4 linked regions of the Mus musculus genome follow. The protein of the gene in region 1 purifies or fractionates together with the protein of each later gene. This does not show direct contact. Links are inferred from orthologs where the notes say so. Each region holds a gene or a part of one and is shown in the gene's direction. Other genes may lie near its edges. The genes, in order: Ap1s2, Ap1g2, Ap2b1 and Ap1m1.

Region 1 (5,370 bases):
CTGTTGGTATTAGAATTTAATAAGCCATTCCTTCTGCTAAATTAATAAGCAGCCAAGATTATGTAATAGCTGCTTTCAGCTGCTAATTATTTTCCCATAATTCCTTCTCTACCCCCCAGCCCTCCCCACTTTCTCTCTCTCTCTTTTTGGCTAGGAACACAGAAATGAGACTGCCAATTTGCAAGTCTCCCATAATTTCCAGAGCTACTAACCAACATTAGTAACACATCCAATGAGTTTAAACTTGGGAGGTGGTGACTTAGGCACCCTGAGGACGTAGGTGTTTTGAACACAAAAAGGAAAGGCAGTGTTTAGAATTAGAAGGCCGTTTTTCATTGTGTAATATCATTGCTATCTTTGAACTGGCTAATGACATCTGTTTCTTGTGAGAAAGTACATTGGCATTTTAGAGGCATGTTTCAACAATAAACAGAGAAATTTGGGCCGGGGACCTAAAGACCTACCAAAAGCCAATTCTGCTTTCTATTGACCACTTTAATACTCCAGTATATTTCACTCACACACGTTTGTAGGAAACTTTCCAAGCAGCATAGTATTGCTGAAAAGGGGAAAGTATTCTAGTTTTATTTTTGCTAAACAAAAGCATATACAAAATGACCTCAAATTCCTAACGTATAAGATCCTATTACATTGGCACTCTAAGACATAAAAATGAACATTGATGTCTAATAAGGGGGTTCTTTACATTAAGTAAACACAGCTTCGCTAAAAGTGTAGCATCTTTTTTTTCTTACATTAGTTAATTTACAATTCCTGTTTAGTAATCTCTGCAAAGAAAGGCATGCCCAATGAATACTCTGTTCTGGCTTTTGTTGTAGGGACAGAGGTGACAGTAGTAATGAGTAGCATTTGACAGGGGAAATCCATGGCTGTCCAAGCAAGGTCACCTAATCCTGTGGATCTCCATTCCCCTTATCTATAAAAGATGAGTTGAACTCGATGATCCATCCATTCCACCATTCAAATAAAACACAGACATCCATCATACGCCCAGACTAAGTCAACATTTCAGCTTTTTAACAAGTCTATCATCATTTTATAATTTTATTAGACAACTCACATTTATCAGTAGTGTTAAAACCAGGCAGAGAACTAGGTTGTTAAACGAATAAAATCCAAGGTGCGCTAAACAGAAGCATGTGGGTAAAAGAGGAATTCGTTGTTCCGGGGCTTTAGGGTGAGGCTTTATAGATGTGACATTAGAGGAAGGACATGCCAAGGCGAGCGAGTCATCAGCCAAGGCTAAACTGGAACCCGGGATGGGGAAGGTGCGGGCGAGACCGTGAGAAGGAAGCGGGATCTAAAAGGACTAAGCGCTGTCTGGATTTTTTTTTTTTTTTTTTTTTTTTTTTTTTTTTTTTTGCAGCAGAGAGCGGACTACAACTCCTCCAGTCCGCCGCACTGCTGGGGGAAGCAAGCCCTGAAGAGAGGCTCTAGCAAAGCTTGTGGCGAGAAATGTCTAGGTTAGCTGGGGCTGGAAAGGAGGGGCCTCCCTGCAAACGCGGGCACGAGCACCGCGACAGCGCTGACTTGTTTTCCCCTGAGTTGCAGCACTCCTGTCCTTGGCTCCCACCATCATCGCCGACTGTCACACCTCCCCGCCCAACCCTCTGGAGACCCACGGAGTCACTGGCGCTCGGAATCAGCCCCTTTGCGGTGCGGACCATCCTTTAGCCTGCACCACGGGGTCAGCTAAGGGCGCCGCGGAGCCCCATCACCCTGCCACGGAAGGAGCCAGGACAGCCGCGCGCGCCGCGTCCCGGCAGCACAGCCCGAAGTACGCAAGCGCGCTGGCCACAGCCTAGGCCGCTTCCGGGTCACGTGGCCAGACTTCCGGCCCTCGCCACGCCTACCCTGCGGTTATTTGACCAATCGGCTTCTCGTTCTTGCCGGCAACAGCGCTCACTCTAGAGGCGGTTGGCGCCCCCTCGGCAGCTTGGCGCGCGGTCTCCGGTCCGCCTCTCCGCTCGCCGCAGCCCGGGCTCCTCCTCCGTCCAGCCTCCAGGGCGGGATCTGTCGGCTCGCCCTACCCTCGCAGCCTAAGCCTGCCCTCCACCAGACGGGTCCCCTCCCCGCGGCACCACGGCTTCCCTTCCACAGCACGGCGACGGGGGCTTCCCCTCAGCAGCTGCCGGCGCCTCAGTCTCCGCGGCCAGCCCAGCTCCGCCGCGTCCGCGGCCCGCCGCCGCCGTAAGTGCTGAAGGAGTCCGCTGAGCTGGCAGGGATGGAAAGAGGGAGTGATGGCTGGGACGCGCCCCCCGCCGCCCCGTGAGCGCCCCGACGACCCCACCCCGAGTCCTCCCGGGGCGCCGCGCCCCGAAACTCACTTCTGCCGGCGGTAGCGCTCCGCTCTCCACTCGGCAGCGCGCCGGTGATGCAGGGGAACCGGTCCTAGGTTCCGCGGGGACCCCGCGGCACCTGTGGTTCGCTGATCGCCTCAAGTTTGACGGGGCGTTTTGGGGAGGGGCTGGGGTGACGGCGACCGAGGACTTGGCGCCCCTGGCGGGCCAGCGGATGCCATTGTCTCTGCTCCACTCCTTGCCGGTCACCTCGCCCAGCTTTGGGTACTGATGGAGTGTAGTCCCGGGAGGAGGGGAGGCGTCCGAGACTGCGGGACCCCAGGGATGCTGGACCAGAGCCCACTCCAAGGCTGAGCTCATTGTTGGGTTTTTTGTTTTGTTTTGTTTTGTTTTTGTTTTAATACCAATCTGGAGAAATTGTTGTCCCGGGATTTGCGGCAAAAATCAAAGCGAGGGAAAAGGAATACTTGTGCCGCGGGTTTCGTCCCATGTTAGCACATCATTTGTTTTGAGGAAAATGCTTGGTTTCTTCGTCCTCCAAAGTGGTAGGGCGGATACTGGACCCCGCTACAGATAGCCTAGAGCACACCCCAGTCATTAGCAAACCATCTCTCCTGGTCAAGATTTAAGAAAACCGATCGGTCCCTTCCCCAAGTTCTGATAACGGTTTGCGTTCAATGTCCAGTTCTTTCGATGCCGTTCTTTTCGATGCCGCTGTCTTCAGGACTTACAAGGGTGGCACTTTGCTCTCAATGAATTATATAGTGTTGTGTGGGGTAATAGCCAATTTTAACTTTATTAAAGTTAAATGGCTACGCCATAAATATCCGGATGTTTTCTTGATGCCTTTTTGGGATATTGCGAGGTGGATTTCCTGTCTAGAGCCAATTTGATTTTATATTAGTTACGTAAATTCCTCCTCCGGGTGTTCAAATTTAAGGTTGTGTGGTGAATATTAAGAATCGCCCTTGGGTGGATCTTACTTGCACTGTCACTGTTAAAGGAACTTAAAAAGGTTAAAACAAAACACCTATCCAAATTTTACCTTCAAATTAGCTTTACAATACAGCTCGCTTTTACCAGTTGAATTATAAAATACATGCCTTAGAAAATATAGACTGACCAACAGACATGCAAATACTAAGTAAATCAATGCAAATTAGCTTCGGTATAAAACATACTCAAATCCAGCATAACATTCAAATGTGGTTTTTGTTTTAAAAGAAGTATTCTGTGCACTGTCCCAAAAATTTGTTGTTTTAAATTAAATATCTTGTGTCTCGATATGAGTAACTTTGAATAAAGCTTTTTAAGCGTGTATTCTCTTTTACATACATTAACTCAGTTCTTGAGTGCTTGTTTGTGTTGGATTTTATGAAATGCAAACATAAAAATCGGGCTTTTGTCTTTAAAATGTGTTGTTTGTGAGATCTTTTTGATTAATATTGTGATTTTGCTTAAAATATGCTAGCATAAATTGAAGGGAATGCTTTAAATGACAAGCAGTTTTTCTGCAAGAAATTCAGCCTGGAACTAGAATAGCCTCAGGGTGAAAAATAGTAGGTCTCCTCTTCCTAGACATGTAAATCAACATCCTAAATCAACTACCTGATGTCTGCATTTGCCTTTAATGCACATAGAGTGGTGGAGTGTGGAACAGGTAGAAAATTGTTTCTTGAAATTATCAGAGTTTTTGTTCTTCAAAATTTTCACTCCAGCTTACCACCTGTTCTGATTTCCACACACTCTTCCACACTTACCTACATATAGTAAGATCTTTCCAATAGAATTTCCTGCTATTATAACCTGCGTAGAAATGTTGATGGCTTATTGATCATGTGTCAGGGTGTTTACTGTACCCCCAAAGCAGCTCTGAAACATCATGTGATCTTGACTGTTGATCCTAGGTAATTGTATGTAATTTTGATTTTATTTATTTTAACAGATGCAGTTTATGTTGCTTTTTAGTCGCCAGGGAAAGCTTCGACTGCAGAAATGGTATGTCCCACTGTCAGACAAAGAAAAGAAGAAGATCACAAGAGAACTTGTTCAAACCGTTTTAGCACGGAAACCCAAGATGTGCAGCTTCCTTGAGTGGAGAGATCTGAAGATTGTTTATAAAAGGTATTTTTGTTTTTTTTTATCAGAAAGGTAAAATACTGTCAAATATTAGGGTTATTTCTAATGAGGAAATTGCAGACTTTTATGTCAATAAACAAAGATTAATAAATATTAAATGAAATAAATTTAAAGGAAAACTTTCCATTTAAAAATAAGTAACTGCTATTTTGATTGCTTGCCTTAGGCTGAAGCAATAGCAGCAGGGAATCATTTTTAAATTAATTATATAAAAAAGACAGACAATTATTCCTGCTTAATCACCATTTTAGAAAAATTTAGTAAATTCATTACTGGGGTAAATAGGGTATTTTAAATTTTTAAGTACTTCGCTAAATTCTTGCATGCATAGATAACAGTGTAATAATTCCTTGTTATAACAAATCTATAAAATAATTACTGATATTTGGTATTTCTTTTCTGACTTTTAGAATTAATCTTATTCATAAAGATCCTGGACACATAGACCATCTCAGTATACAGATGTTTAAATACTTTGTGTATATATAGAATGTCTTTCCTAGTAGCATTTATTAATTTAAAATAGACTTTTTGCTGTGAAGGAGTTATGTTTAGATATGATAATTTTACCAAGGATAGATTTTTTTTAAAGTGATGTTTCAAAATAACTTGTAAAAAAATAGCTTTTTTACACAGTTTTTTCTTTAATGCTACATATCTTTATTTTGTTGGTAACCAAAAGTTTTCTAAGCAGTTTAAAAGAAATATAATTTCTTCTTTTATAGGATTTTTTTGAGGGAACATTTCCTTATTTCTTCCCCATTTCTGGTCCCCTTTGAATAATTTACTGAATTCAACATAAAAGCATTTCTTCATATAAAACATGGTCTTGTATGGGGAGTACTCAGAGAACAGTATGCAATTCAGTGATGGTGGAGAGAAGTGTAATTTTCTATCACTATATTTCAAA
Region 2 (3,768 bases), on another chromosome or scaffold:
CACTGCTGGAAAAGGTGCTGCAGTCCCATATGTCCCTGCCAGCCACTCGGGGCTACGCCATCACAGCCCTCATGAAGCTGAGCACCCGACTCCGGGGAGACAACAAGTAAGAAGGGAGCTCCCGTCCCTTTAAAGATGTCATTTCCGCCAGGCCTACTAAGTCCCCAGGCACGCATCCCTCTCCCCGCCTAGCCTTAGGAATCTGCTTTTGAGCCACATATATCAGGGGTCTCCTTACTCTGTGAGGCCTCTCCCTTCCCTCTCATCCTGGAGTGGAAGAGCAGGCCGACCGCCACTGCCTCTCACAGGCCACACGGTGGCCCAGTCGTATTCGCCAGGTGGTGTCCATCTACGGGAGCTGTGTGGACTTAGAGCTGCAACAGCGGGCTGTGGAGTATAACACACTCTTCCAGAAGTACGACCACATGAGGTGTGTCCTGAGGCCTGCAGGTAGAACTTCAGACTCTCTACTCCCAGGGCGCTCTTCAGAGCCTCTCTTGGGGGGGGGGGGGGGAACGACTCACCTCCCATCCATAGTGGATGGCAAGCTGGTTTCCCATCCTCATCTGTTGTCGGAAGACCAGCAACTGGCTTCCTGTCTTAGGAAGCCAGGACGGCACTTGTGACCCTGTGTGCCACCGCCCTGTGTCCTTGGTCTTCTTCCCAAATGCTTCTGTGAGAGCATGTGCTTCATACAGGAACCCTTGCGTTCCATCCCTTCAGAGCCGCCATCCTAGAAAAGATGCCTCTTGTAGAGCGTGGTGACCCCCACGTTAAAGAGGGAGGGAAGGAGAAGCAAACGGAAGCCCAGCCCTTGGAAGTGACAGCCCCTGCCCCCACAGAACCCCAGGTGAGGAGGTGGGAGGACCTGGGTAGAGAAGACTTATGTGGGTGTTCACACCCTGCCGTGACCTCCTGCCCTTTTTCCCAGGCCACCAAACTCTTAGATCTACTGGATCTCCTGGGTGACACTTCAGAGCCTCTCTCTTCTGGGCATGCCCAGCATCTTCCTCCTCAGACTCCTTCCCCAGGGGAAGCCTTAATTCATCTCCTTGACCTTCCCTGTACACCGCCACCCCCAGGTAGGCCTCAGCTAAGGGAGAAACATTATAGAAGTGGGGTGGAAATGGGTCTTTTCTCTCTCTGAGCCAAGGATAGGGACACCCATCTCAGTAGGCAAAGGTCCATGGCGGTCCCATCTTTAATGTACTTGTACTTCTCACCCCAGTCTGCAGGCCTGTTTCCACTCCAGCCTGCACTATCACTTCCCACTGCCCACTCTATTGGTCTCTTCAACTCCCCAAAGCCTTCCACCTCAAACCCTTAACATTTCACGTTCTTTACCCAACACCAAAAGGACTGCTACTAGCGGATACTACTCACTCTTCAGCTAAATGCCATCTGTCTACCCTCTCCTGTTTAACTTGGTTCATCACGGCCATGATTATCTTGTATTTCGTTCGATGTTTCTCTTTCCCCAACTAGATGGCCAGCCCAAGCCTTAGCTTGTCTACTTTTATCATTAGATCCGGGGCAGCTGCAGGGTCAAGACTGGCTCACTCCATTTTTACTGGCTGAGTGGCTGGGTGTTTTATCTTAAGCCCATGCACTGAGCTGCCTCTCTCCCTTCTCCAGCTCCCATCCCCAGTGTCAGAGTGTTTGAGCGTGAGGGCCTACAGCTGGATCTTTCTTTCATGCGGCCCTTGGAGACCCCTGCTTTGCTCTTAGTCACTGCCACCACCACCAACTCCTCAAAGGAGGATGTTACCCACTTCGTTTGCCAGGCAGCTGTGCCCAAGGTTTGAAAACAGTGGGGTTTAGCCAGGTGTGATAGTTGGTGCCTGTAATTGTAGAACTTAGAAACCTGAGGCAGGGGGACTCATTGTTTGAGGCCAACCTGCCTTAACATAGTGACTTTGAAGCCAATTTGAGCTACACTGTTTCAATAAAAGAAAAAAAAAAAAATAGCATTCAGAGGTAGCCAGGGAATTTCAGGAGAAGAGGCCAGAAAGAAATGGAGGAGGGTGGGAGGCAGAGTATAATGGGAAAGGAGTGATTGTGTTATTGGGGTGTTATCCAAAAATGTTTGGGAGCCACGGGATGTGGAGGACTGCCTGAGCCCAGGGGCCTTACAATGCTCTGCCCAAATCTCCCATGTTCAGAGTTTCCAGCTGCAGTTACAGGCCCCCAGTGGGAACACAATTCCAGCTCAGGGTGGTCTTCCCATCACCCAGGTCTTCAGAATCCTCAATCCTAACCAGGTGAGTTGTCAGACGCTGCGGGTAAGAGGGACGAAGCAATAGGAGACCTGACCCTGGTCTCTGCTTGCCTGTTTTTAGGCACCTTTGCGACTTAAGCTGCGCCTCACCTACAACCACTCTGGCCAGCCAGTACAGGAGATCTTTGAGGTGGATAACTTGCCTGTGGAGACGTGGCAGTAACCGACTGTGGTCAGTGTCTGGCCTGGGTGTCTCCAGGCTCCTGGTGTTCAAGGAACGGAAATAAAGACCCACGTAAATGGCGAAGTAAACTTTATTTAAAGGCAAACTGAGCGTACAAATTAGAAGTGCTCTGTAAACGGGTGATGACCACAGTCTTAAGAGCCCAGGGCAGTCACCCGGTGTTCCTTTAATAAAGTCTCAGGGAACGAAGGTGTTAGCTGTGAAGTGGCATAATTTGAGTGATTCTCTGTTTTCATTGACAGGCTTGGATTCTGTCAGCCTTTCTTCTCTGTGCGTAACCCTTCCCATGATGCAGCTGACTTTAATCATAAGCTAACTCATTCTGCACAGGCATAGGACGGTCCATAGGGAGTTCTCCTCAAAAGGTCACCCAAAGATCACAGGTTACCCCAAACCCGTTTAGGCCTAATCAGCTCCCTACTTTGGGGTATGTCCTAAAGTGTTTGAATAAAACTGTCCACAGAAGGGGAGTTTTGATGGCTGCTGGGGAAAGAGAGATTTACTGTCTGAAGTGGGCTCTAAGTGCTACTCGATACAGGCGGGGTCCTGGCTGCACTGTTAGAAGAATGTGTGTGCATGGTGCGTGCAGCTGAGGGTCCTAAGATGCCAAGTGGCAGTGAGATGAGAGGTGTGCATAGCTCAAACCAAGTGGAGTTCCAGGCTGCTAACCTGTTCCCTAAGCTTGCCTGCCTCATAACTGCCTCGGCTCCTCTCAAATCTTTCTGCACCCTCAGCTTGGGACACAACCCTGAGGGCCACCAGCAGGTGGCACTCAGACCCTATATTTGTCAAGGCAATATAGAGAGCCTGCCTCCTCCCCAACAAATAAAGTCTATGAAGCGTGAGAAGGGAAGAGAGGCCTGTTTTGACCTAGTTGAGAGAAAAAAAAATGTGTTAAGAGCAAGGGTGGTGCCTTCTCCACAGGAAGTATGACTTCCTGAAACCCTAGGAACCGGTCTCAACAATGACCATTTTCTTTCTACCCCTCTCTGGGTTGGAGAGCAAATGTTCTCTCTAAACTGCCACACTGAGCACTCTACCCTCCCGGCACAGCAGCAGGCCCTGAATTTCTAGATCCCTTAAGGAGTTCCTAACCTTTTCCCCACCTTCTTGCTCTTCCCTACACCCCAGGGCAGGGAAATCCCCGCTGTTTCCCCTCATCTCTAACTCAGCTGTAAGGCGGCTTCAGAGCCTCTGGCAGAATCAATGGCATCGACCAAGGGAGGGGGGGGTGGCAAGGGATTTTCCTGTGCTTAACTACTGATCACGGCTAAGTGGAAATCCTATAAACACGAGCGGAAATCAA
Region 3 (4,638 bases), on another chromosome or scaffold:
TGAAGGCCATCATGTTTCCTTTCCTAGAGACCACACCAGAATATAATACTTTTGTGAGAGTTTAATTCTGGATTAGGCTGAGTAATTTGAGTTCTCATCTGAAGCTAATTAATAAGGAGCTAGCAAAGAAGCTGTGTTTATCATCATCTCTAGGCCTTTTTTTTTTTTTTCCTCCTTAAGACAGGGTTTCTCTGTGTAGCCCTGGGTGTCCTGAAACTCATTTTGTAGACCAGGCTGGCCACAAACTCAGAGATCCCTCCTGCTCTGTCTGCCCCTGCCCCTGCCGAGTACTGAGATTAAAGACACTAACACACCTGGCATATCATCGCTACTCTTCAAAGTTTGTTTCTGACACTGCAGCATCTCAGACAAAGACATGACCTTTAATTAACTCTAGAGCATTGTGTCTCTTGATGATATAGTCACAGGAGCACCAAACTGTTGTTGTCGTGAGCTCGGGAGTGCAGAGGCATCACCCGCATGGCAGCTGGGATCTGAGCATACAACAGTCATTTCACATAGCTTCAGGCCTCTCTGTGTCTTCCATTAAAGTAATTTGTTTCCTTGTGTGTTGGAAAGCATGGTTTCCTCTAGCATCTAAAAAAAATTGTTTGCCTGCTTTAAAAATGAAATTTAAGTATCCAGTTTAATAAATCTGACTTGAAAAGACCTGTGCAGCTCTGTCCTTTTCTAAAGCTGTGAAACCGAGGCCCATGTGGCTCACAGTGCAGTAGTAGTGACTTGGGGAGTGCACATCTGATCATCAGTGTAACTTTCCTGGATGGGGAGCAGTGTTCCAGAAATGAGAATCAACTAGAGTCTGAATGGGGACTCCCACAAATCCACCTTTGTCCCCATCAGAGTATTTGTGCCTGTCTACCATTGTGATGCTTACTATTGTCAATTTGACAGGGTCTAGAACCTAGAAGGCAAGCCTCTAGACACACCTGTGAGCGATTATCTAAATGAGGTTAGCCTCTGGGGGTCCCTGTGTGGGATTATCTGGATTCGTTCATTGAAGTGGGAAAGACCCACCTGAACTCTGTGTGGCTCCTTTCCTTGGGTGGAGTCCTGACCTGAAGGAACAAGGGAAAACAAGTTAACACTAGAATTTGTCTTGTGCTATCTGGATGCAGTGTTGAACAGCTGCCCCTCGCTCCTGCTGCCATGATTTCCACCATGATGGGCTGTACCCCAGGACTGTAAGCCAAAATGACCCTTCGGTTTTTATGTCACTTTGGCCAGGGAACTTTGTTACTGCAGTGGGAAAAGTAATTAACCCGAGAACTTAGTTTGTTCTTAGTAAACCTGAGGCCTGTCTATCTATTGTCGACCCTCCCTAGGTAACTCTTAAACTCCAGTGTTAGTGCACCTTCCTGTTTTCTGTTTGATACCGTGATGGGCAGGCCCTTCATTTTGCCTGCCTGTATCAGAAGAAGCTCTGGACATGTGAATGTGCTGGAATTGATCGGGAACTCGAGGAGATGTGAAGTTCACAAGAGGGGCAGAGAGGAATGTGTGCGTTGGAGACTTTAACTGAAAGCTTAAGTCTCGGCTCTCTATTTCTAGACACAGTTTCCAGCAAGTTGCAAAACAACAATGTTTACACTATTGCCAAGAGGAACGTGGAAGGGCAGGACATGCTGTACCAGTCCCTGAAGCTCACTAATGGCATTTGGATTTTGGCAGAGCTGCGGATCCAGCCAGGAAACCCCAATTATACGGTAAGGCCTTTCCCAGAATGTGTGAGATGGGTTAGAATCCAGAGGTAAGAGCCCATACATTTAAAAATTCTTTAGTGTACTACAGAGACCTGGAGAAGTACTTCTGGCCAAGATACCAAAAAACAAGCACTCAGTAAGGGAGTCCTGTGTTGCAATCATGAAATGTCTTCTCTCCTCACTGTGGTCTTCTGACTTACAAGGCATGGTACTGGGGACAGACCAGGGTAGACCACCTGCCTCTGACAGTTACATTGCTTCGCTGGCACACAGAGATGGCTCCTCCTTGGCATGCATTTGGTACTAGAGTAAACTGTTAAGAGGAGTGTTTCTAGCTGGCATCATGATCACACCTGCAGTCCTAGGAAAAGAAAGGTGGATAGCTGTGGATTGGAGGCTAGCCAGAACTTCATAGTTGAGACCCTGCCTCAAAAAAAAAAGTGTTTCTGGGGCTGAGAGATGGTAAGGGTGCTTGCTGTACAAACAGAAGGGCCTGGGTTCAGACCCTTAGCACCCACATAAAAGCAGGCATGACCACACATGCTGGAAGCCCAGCGTTGCACTCAGAGGAGGCAAGAGGATCACTGGAGCTTGCTGATCAGACAGCCTCACCAGGTTCCGTGAGAGACCTGTCTCAGGGGGACGGGACGTGATAGAAAGGATAGAGCAAAGTGCCCAGCACACTCCAACCAAAAGACAAAAACAAAAAGCATTTCCCACCTGATTACACTGGACCTTGTCTACTCTCAGAGCTCTTGGCCTTAAGGATGTCTAGACCTATACACAACTACTACCACCAAGCCATGATTTGAACAAGTCACTAATTAATCAGTCTTAACCATGGTTTCCTTAACAGGGAGAGAAGTCTCCACCCTATAGGTTTCCCCTGTAGATTGGGAAACCTCCTCCAGTATCTCTCTGAACGGAAGTAAAAGTTATTGCATGGCTTTGCACAGGAAAAACCACTGCTTTGCTCGGCAGTAAAGACTGGTCCCCGAGGCCCTGAGCTCTGTGCTGGTGTCAAATGTGATCTCCCAACAAGCTTTGAGATGGGGAAGTACCTTATTCTCGTTTTAGGTTGTTTGAAGGCGTTGGCAGGGGAAGAAGATTCAATAGTGACTGGTTCTGAGGAAGGTGAAAAATCAGACTCAGAGAGCCTTTTATTCTGTGACCCCATTCCTTAGTGTTGACAGCTGTTGTTTATGCTGTCATGCATCAAAGAAGTAGTGTCACCCAAACAGAAATTCTTAGTATTCTCCCTGCCGTACGCTGGAATGCCAAGTGTATGCTGCTGCTGAGTCCAGTCAACTTGGGCTTTCCCAGGAAGCATCTGTGAGATTTCCCTCCCTTCTATCTCTGCTACTTTTTTGTTTCTGTTTCAGGTTTCTGAAACAGGGTCTCAAAATGTAGCCCTGGCCATCCTAGAATAATTCTTTCAACCAGGCAGGTGTCAAACAAAAATCCATTTGCCTCAGCCTCCCAAATGCTGAAATTAAAATGAGTTCTGGGACTAAAGGCTTGTACCACCAAGCCAGACTCATGTCTTGTCTTTTTCAGAGAGTAAAAATCTACTCTGTCATTTATCTTAAGTTGCCCAGAACAGGAAAACCCTCTGTACTCTTGCTAAAAGGAGAGAGAGGGTCTCACTAAGAAATCCAGGTCTGGTAAAATACTTCCATTTAGTTACTTTTCTAGACAGCTGTGCATGTTTCTTTTAAACTCACCATTCATTAGTGTATACATTGTCCCATCTTTGCTAAGTTAAGGAAGCATATTAGTCCCAGGTTGTAGACCAGGGAATTGTGGTTAAGAAGATTGGAGGGATGGCGCAGTAGACAAAGTTACTTGCCACCAAGCCTGATAAACTGATAAAGAAGAGAATTGGCTCCCTCCAGCTTTCCTCTAACTAGGACAAGTATCGTGACACATACCCACACAAATAAATGAAATAAATATAATTTCTTTTTTTTAAAAAAAAATGATTAATGAGACCTGACCCTAGTGACACAGACCTGTGATCCCACCTGTATGGGATGCTCAGGCAGGAAGATGGAAAATTTAAGGCCAGACTGGGCAACTCAGAGACTCAGCCTCAAAGGAAAAAGTAAAAATCGGGCTGTGGAGTATCACTCGATGGCAGAACGCCTGTCAGCCTGGCCCTGCCCTAGGTCCAACCCCAAGTATCAAAAGTGTGAAAATGATTAATGATTCGTTCAAAATCATGTGGGATGGGGGGGCATATTAATAGGCAAATGATGTTTAAGGTTCAGATGTTATTAATGGGTCCTGATGCACATTGTCTGAGATGGACTGTTCATTCTCTTAGATATAACTAATACTTAGAAAATACACTTTTTGAGAGTACTTACAAGATTTTTAATGGGACTTTTTCTTTTAACCCAGTTTTTCGTATTGCTACTATCTTACACATCTACTTTCAAGACTAGAAAATAACTATAACTACAGACATAAATAAGACTATACGGGAGGAGGGTATAGGGGACTTTAGGATAGCATTTGAAATGTAAATGAAGAAAATATCTAATAAAAAATTAAAGTAAAAAAAAAAAGACTGTACATTACATGCTCTCTTAGGGTAGGACAGAGTGACCCGGTTTTCTTTATAGTTTGCTTTAGCCTTTTTGTTTTGTTTTTATTGTTGTTGTTGTTGTTGTTGTTTTCTGGAGTCAGGTGTATGTTTGTTTGGTTTTGAGACAAGGTTTCACCATGTAGCCCTAGCTGGCCTAGAATTCATTATATAGTCCAGGCTGGCCTCAAACTCCGAGATTGAGCTGCTTCTGCCTCCTAGGTGCTGGAATGGAAACCTAGCCCTGGCAAGCACTCATTGGTTCTCCTACAATCACATCATTTTGAGAATGTTACAGAAAATAAATCATCACATAGTTTTTTGTTCACA
Region 4 (4,638 bases), on another chromosome or scaffold:
GGACTCCATGCTAGCATTAGGCAAGCATGTGATGGAAGGAGGTGACAGGAGGCTGTCTAGGAACTGGCTTCTTGTGGATGCCTTTTGGGCATGGGCAGGGACTTATAACCACTGCCAGCCTCACCCTTGCTGTGCATAGGAGGGAAGAGCAAGTCAGTGGAGCTGGAGGATGTGAAATTCCACCAGTGTGTGCGGCTGTCACGTTTTGAGAACGACCGCACTATCTCCTTCATCCCACCCGACGGAGAGTTTGAACTCATGTCCTACCGCCTCAACACCCATGTGAGTGTAGCAAATTCCCAGGCAAGTTCAACACCAATCCTCCCACATCCTCTGGCCACCTGCCTCCCAGCTCCCTATGTGGGCTGAAACCTTGACCACCACTGGCTGTACCATGGTCATCACCCTCTACTGGCATACACAGTGGTCTCCTGGAAGAATGGGGCCTTGTCTGGCCTCAGTTTTCCCTCAGTAGCATGAGACATGGTGTGAGTGCCTTCTCCGCACCCACAGGTGAAGCCTTTGATCTGGATTGAGTCCGTGATTGAGAAGCATTCCCACAGCCGCATTGAGTACATGGTCAAGGTCGGTGAGAGGAGAGGGTGGGCACCTTGGAGGCCCAAGTCAGGCGTGGGCAGTGCCTGGAATAGTCAGAATCTTTGGTGGGTAATGGGAATCCACTACCAGGCAGAGACTGTGTGGCCCTGGTAAGGTGGCTGGGGGTGGCCAGACTCCCTTCCTTGCATCATCCAGAGCCTCTGCCTGGGGCCTCCTTGCAGGCCAAGAGCCAGTTCAAGAGGCGGTCAACAGCCAACAATGTAGAGATCCATATACCAGTCCCCAACGATGCTGATTCACCCAAGTTCAAGACTACAGTGGGGAGTGTCAAGTGGGTCCCTGAAAACAGTGAGATCGTGTGGTCCGTCAAGTCCTTTCCGGTGAGCCCCATATTTGCCAGGTACCCCAAAATATCTTCCCAAGACCCATCCCTGTGCCACCTTGGGAAAGGTGTTTCCTTTCAGTGAGGGGCAGTCCTGCTTAGTGGCATCCTGGTCCCAGGAACACTGCAGCCCCTCTCTGTACCCTACAGGACTAGGGGAGAGCTGGCTATAGATCCATCCCAGGAGAGCTTTCACTTGGTGCTGCAGCACAGCCACAGTGCGCAGAGGACCGCATACAGTAGGATTCCCTGGTGCACCTCCACCCTTATCTTTGTCCTCACCAGAGAAGAAATAGTGAGAGCCAGGGCTGCCTTCATCTTTCTACCCTTTCTGTGTACTGGAGATGATCCCAAGGTACCCCAAGCATGGTAGACTCTCCTACTGTCCACACTGACTTAAGGGCCTCCCAGAGTTGGGGATTATAGGTGGGAAGGATGGCCAAACTCAGGGTAGATGCTGCCTGGCCCTGGTGACCACTATTGCACTTTCCCAGCCTTTTGTCACATGGCACAGTGGCAAAGCTCATCAGTGTCCTACATATTGCTGCAGTCCTTTTTAAGGCCAGGTAGTACTCCACACCATGCCCCTTCCTTTTTCACTGATAGGCACTCTTGGTGCACCCAAGTTATGCTGCAGTGGATATTAGTGCACAGGGCTCTCCTCCATACCCTGCTTCCTGTTCTCAGGCATACACCCACAAGAGAATGATTTGCCATTAGAATTGTTAGAATTGTTTGAGGCTCTGCCTTGGTGTTTTGTGTAGCAGTGGCACAGTGTCATTCCTGCCAGAGGTGCTTAACAGTTCTGGATTCTTGTCCATCACATTTTTGTCTTTGTCTTTGAGGTTGGGTCTTACTATGTAGCACTGTTTAGACCAGGCTGGCCTCAAACTCACAGAGATCCACCTGCCTCTGCCTCCCCAGTGCTATGGTTAGAGGCGTGCTCTGGTATCTGTCCTCATGTTTCCTTGGTCTTTGATTTGTGACTGTGCACCCAAAGCAATACTGCAGCCACTGACCCAGTCCCCAGCCCAGTCACACTCCCTCCTTTAAGTTCAGTCCACTCACTGGTAATTTTTACATTAGTGTTGATGCAGATAAACATTTCTTCCAGCTCCACCCTAAATCTGTACCCATGAAACCTACAGTGTAACATGCAACACCATTTTCTACAACTTCTGTTTTCACATAGAAGTTGTTTTGTATTTTTATTTTGTAGTGACTTTGTTTGAAACAGGGTCTCCCTGGATAGTGTCAGTGGTCTGCAACTCATTCTGTAGCCCAGAGTGACCTCAAACTCTTGTATCCCAGGCTGGCCTTAAACTTGCCACCTTCCTCCTGCCCTGAATGCTGAGATTGCTAGGCCCTGCTTACTCTTGTGTTTCCTGTGAGCAGGTCTTCTCTTTCCATTTCCCCTTACTTTGTTGTTAGGCACCAGGAGTCAGAAGGCTGTTTGCTCCAGCTCCCATGCAGATGTCATGGCATCCTTTATGGATGGGAGCTGATAAAGGGGAGTTAGGCTATGGAAGCTCTGTCCTGCTGCACCCCAGCTCCTAAGCATGGTCCTAGTCACAGCCACTCCTGCTGCCCCTAAGTGTGAGCTCAGGAAACCAAAGGCCACGTGTCGTGGGTATAACAGAGTTGGGGTGCCAGACAGAGGGGACAGCCAAGCCCAGGCCTGATGTGCTACCTGGCCAGAGCAGGGCAAGTGTCTCAGCTACCTGACTGGTCCCACTCTCACACCACCTCCAAGTTATTGCTGGACTCCTGGAAACCTGCACCTGCCCACACTTCAGTGTCCTCCCTCTCCCTGTTCACAGTCCCCTTGGGGCTGTGCAGGAGGACCCACCACTCTCCCCAGTGTGCTCCCGTGCTTTCCTTGTGGACCTGTCTGGACAGTCTGGCTCCACAGCCACCTATCCGTCTCCCTAGGAGCTGGTAAAGCCACTTCACACCCTGTCTGTCCTGCTTTGGCTCCTGGGAGCCATGAGCTAGCCTGAGAGACAGCACATTGGTTGTGGGCTGGGCAGCCACCTAACTACCTCCTACATCGGCCCCCAGGGTGGCAAGGAGTACCTGATGCGGGCCCACTTTGGCCTTCCCAGTGTGGAAGCTGAAGACAAGGAGGGAAAGCCCCCCATCAGCGTCAAGTTTGAGATCCCCTATTTCACTACCTCTGGCATCCAGGTATGAATGTGTTAGGTCTGACTGCCTGAACCCCACACTTGAGCCCAAAGTCACAACAGAACCTCCAAACCCCCATCCTGACATAGGGCCTATTTCCTTGGAGCCCCTCAAACTGTGTGGATGAGGGGAGCATATTATTCCCCTGAAAGGCTCAAGGTTACCAAGCCTGGGTCTTGGCTGCCTCTGACAGCCCCTCATACAATGTCAGGCCTGCCCCCTTGGCCTTGCCTTTTGGATGAGGGGTGCTGGTGGGGGTGCAGCACACTCAAGGTCCTTGTGTCCAGGTGCGCTACCTGAAAATCATTGAGAAGAGTGGGTACCAGGCCCTGCCCTGGGTACGATATATCACACAGAACGGAGGTAAGTGGCTGCCTGACTGGCAGGACCTACAGAGGTCTTTCTAGACTGTATCTTCCTATGTGGAGCTGAGGGTGGGTGCTCTGGGTGTCTGTGTGGAGCTGAGGGTGAGTGCCCTGGGTGTCTGTGTGGATCTGAGGGTGAGTGCCCTGGGTGACCATGTGGAGCTGAGGGTGGGTGCCCTGGGTGACCATGTGGAGCTGAGGGTGGGTGCCCTGGGTGACCATGTGGAGCTGAGGGTGGGTGCTCTGGGTGTCTGTGTGGAGCTGAGGGTGGGTGCCCTGGGTGTCTGTGTGGAGCTGAGGGTGGGTGCCCTGGGTGTCTGTGTGGAGCTGAGGGTGGGTGCCCTGGGTGTCTGTGTGGAGCTGAGGGTGGGTGCCCTGGGTGACCATGTGGAGCTGAGGGTGGGTGCCCTGGGTGACCATGTGGAGCTGAGGGTGGGTGCTCTGGGTGTCTGTGTGGAGCTGAGGGTGGGTGCCCTGGGTGTCTGTATGGAGCTGAGGGTGGGTGCCCTGGGTGTCTGTGTGGAGCTGAAGGTGAATGTTCTGTTTTTAGATTATCAGCTCCGGACCCAGTGAGAGGCCTCTGCCACCAGCCCAGCCCACCTAGCCTCAGGGCACACCTGCCACACTCACCAAAACTGAAGCTAGAGGGTGGCCCTGGACATGCAGCCACCCTCTCCTCAAGCCTGAGTGGACTCACACAGAACCCCTTCCCTGGTCCCATTCTGATCCAGGGTGGGAAGGAAGGGCCTGCCAGCCTCCCCCAGGGACAAGCCAGCTGGAGCTGTGCTCCTGGTGCCTCATGACTGGCCACCCACCACCCTGTAGACGCCATCCCTGCCCACCTCCGAAGCCTCCCTTCTGTTGCCATTTTGCTGAGCATGTTGGTCATTGTCATTGTCATCTGTGGCTGTCCTGTCACCTTTCTTCAAGTGTCCTGTGCAGCTGCCATGCTGCACTTAATGAGGGCAGCTGTCCCCTATCCATGCTGGTCTGTATGCCGGATAGTTGCTCTGCCTGGGCCGGCTGTGCCTCCCTTGCCAGCCCTTGACCACATCAGTGTTTTCTCAGAAGGGCACATGGCCTCAGCCTTTGCCCTAAAATTCCTGGGCAGGCACAGGCTACCCTCACTGTACAAGGCCTCGTTGTCCT

The links.
Region 2: the proteins of Ap1s2 (region 1) and Ap1g2 purify together in Homo sapiens (affinity purification with mass spectrometry; 3 studies listed by BioGRID and IntAct, counting the BioPlex papers as one, with this or other methods). This does not show direct contact. The link is inferred for Mus musculus from reciprocal best matches to the Homo sapiens genes AP1S2 and AP1G2.
Region 3: the proteins of Ap1s2 (region 1) and Ap2b1 purify together in Homo sapiens (affinity purification with mass spectrometry; 3 studies listed by BioGRID and IntAct, counting the BioPlex papers as one, with this or other methods). This does not show direct contact. The link is inferred for Mus musculus from reciprocal best matches to the Homo sapiens genes AP1S2 and AP2B1.
Region 4: the proteins of Ap1s2 (region 1) and Ap1m1 fractionate together in Homo sapiens (co-fractionation; 6 studies listed by BioGRID and IntAct, counting the BioPlex papers as one, with this or other methods). This does not show direct contact. The link is inferred for Mus musculus from reciprocal best matches to the Homo sapiens genes AP1S2 and AP1M1.

Annotation. Positions count from the first base shown.
Region 1 is NC_000086.7:163,907,063-163,912,432, forward strand, and holds the start of Ap1s2 (AP-1 complex subunit sigma-2), read left to right. Parts: upstream 1-1,954; 5' UTR 1,955-2,211; exon of another isoform or gene 2,212-2,236; intron 2,237-2,348; exon of another isoform or gene 2,349-2,585; intron 2,586-4,266; coding exon 4,267-4,445; intron 4,446-5,370. UniProt on the Homo sapiens protein: Subunit of clathrin-associated adaptor protein complex 1 that plays a role in protein sorting in the late-Golgi/trans-Golgi network (TGN) and/or endosomes.
Region 2 is NC_000080.6:55,097,733-55,101,500, reverse strand, and holds the end of Ap1g2 (AP-1 complex subunit gamma-like 2), read left to right. Parts: coding exon 1-106; intron 107-325; coding exon 326-430; intron 431-723; coding exon 724-850; intron 851-931; coding exon 932-1,082; intron 1,083-1,635; coding exon 1,636-1,799; intron 1,800-2,162; coding exon 2,163-2,261; intron 2,262-2,339; coding exon 2,340-2,441; 3' UTR 2,442-2,666; downstream 2,667-3,768.
Region 3 is NC_000077.6:83,396,186-83,400,823, forward strand, and holds part of Ap2b1 (AP-2 complex subunit beta), read left to right. Parts: exon of another isoform or gene 1-585; intron 586-1,569; coding exon 1,570-1,724; intron 1,725-4,638. UniProt on the Homo sapiens protein: Component of the adaptor protein complex 2 (AP-2). Adaptor protein complexes function in protein transport via transport vesicles in different membrane traffic pathways.
Region 4 is NC_000074.6:72,252,696-72,257,333, forward strand, and holds part of Ap1m1 (AP-1 complex subunit mu-1), read left to right. Parts: intron 1-139; coding exon 140-282; intron 283-513; coding exon 514-585; intron 586-779; coding exon 780-938; intron 939-3,001; coding exon 3,002-3,127; intron 3,128-3,411; coding exon 3,412-3,487; intron 3,488-4,039; coding exon 4,040-4,062; 3' UTR 4,063-4,638. UniProt on the Homo sapiens protein: Subunit of clathrin-associated adaptor protein complex 1 that plays a role in protein sorting in the trans-Golgi network (TGN) and endosomes.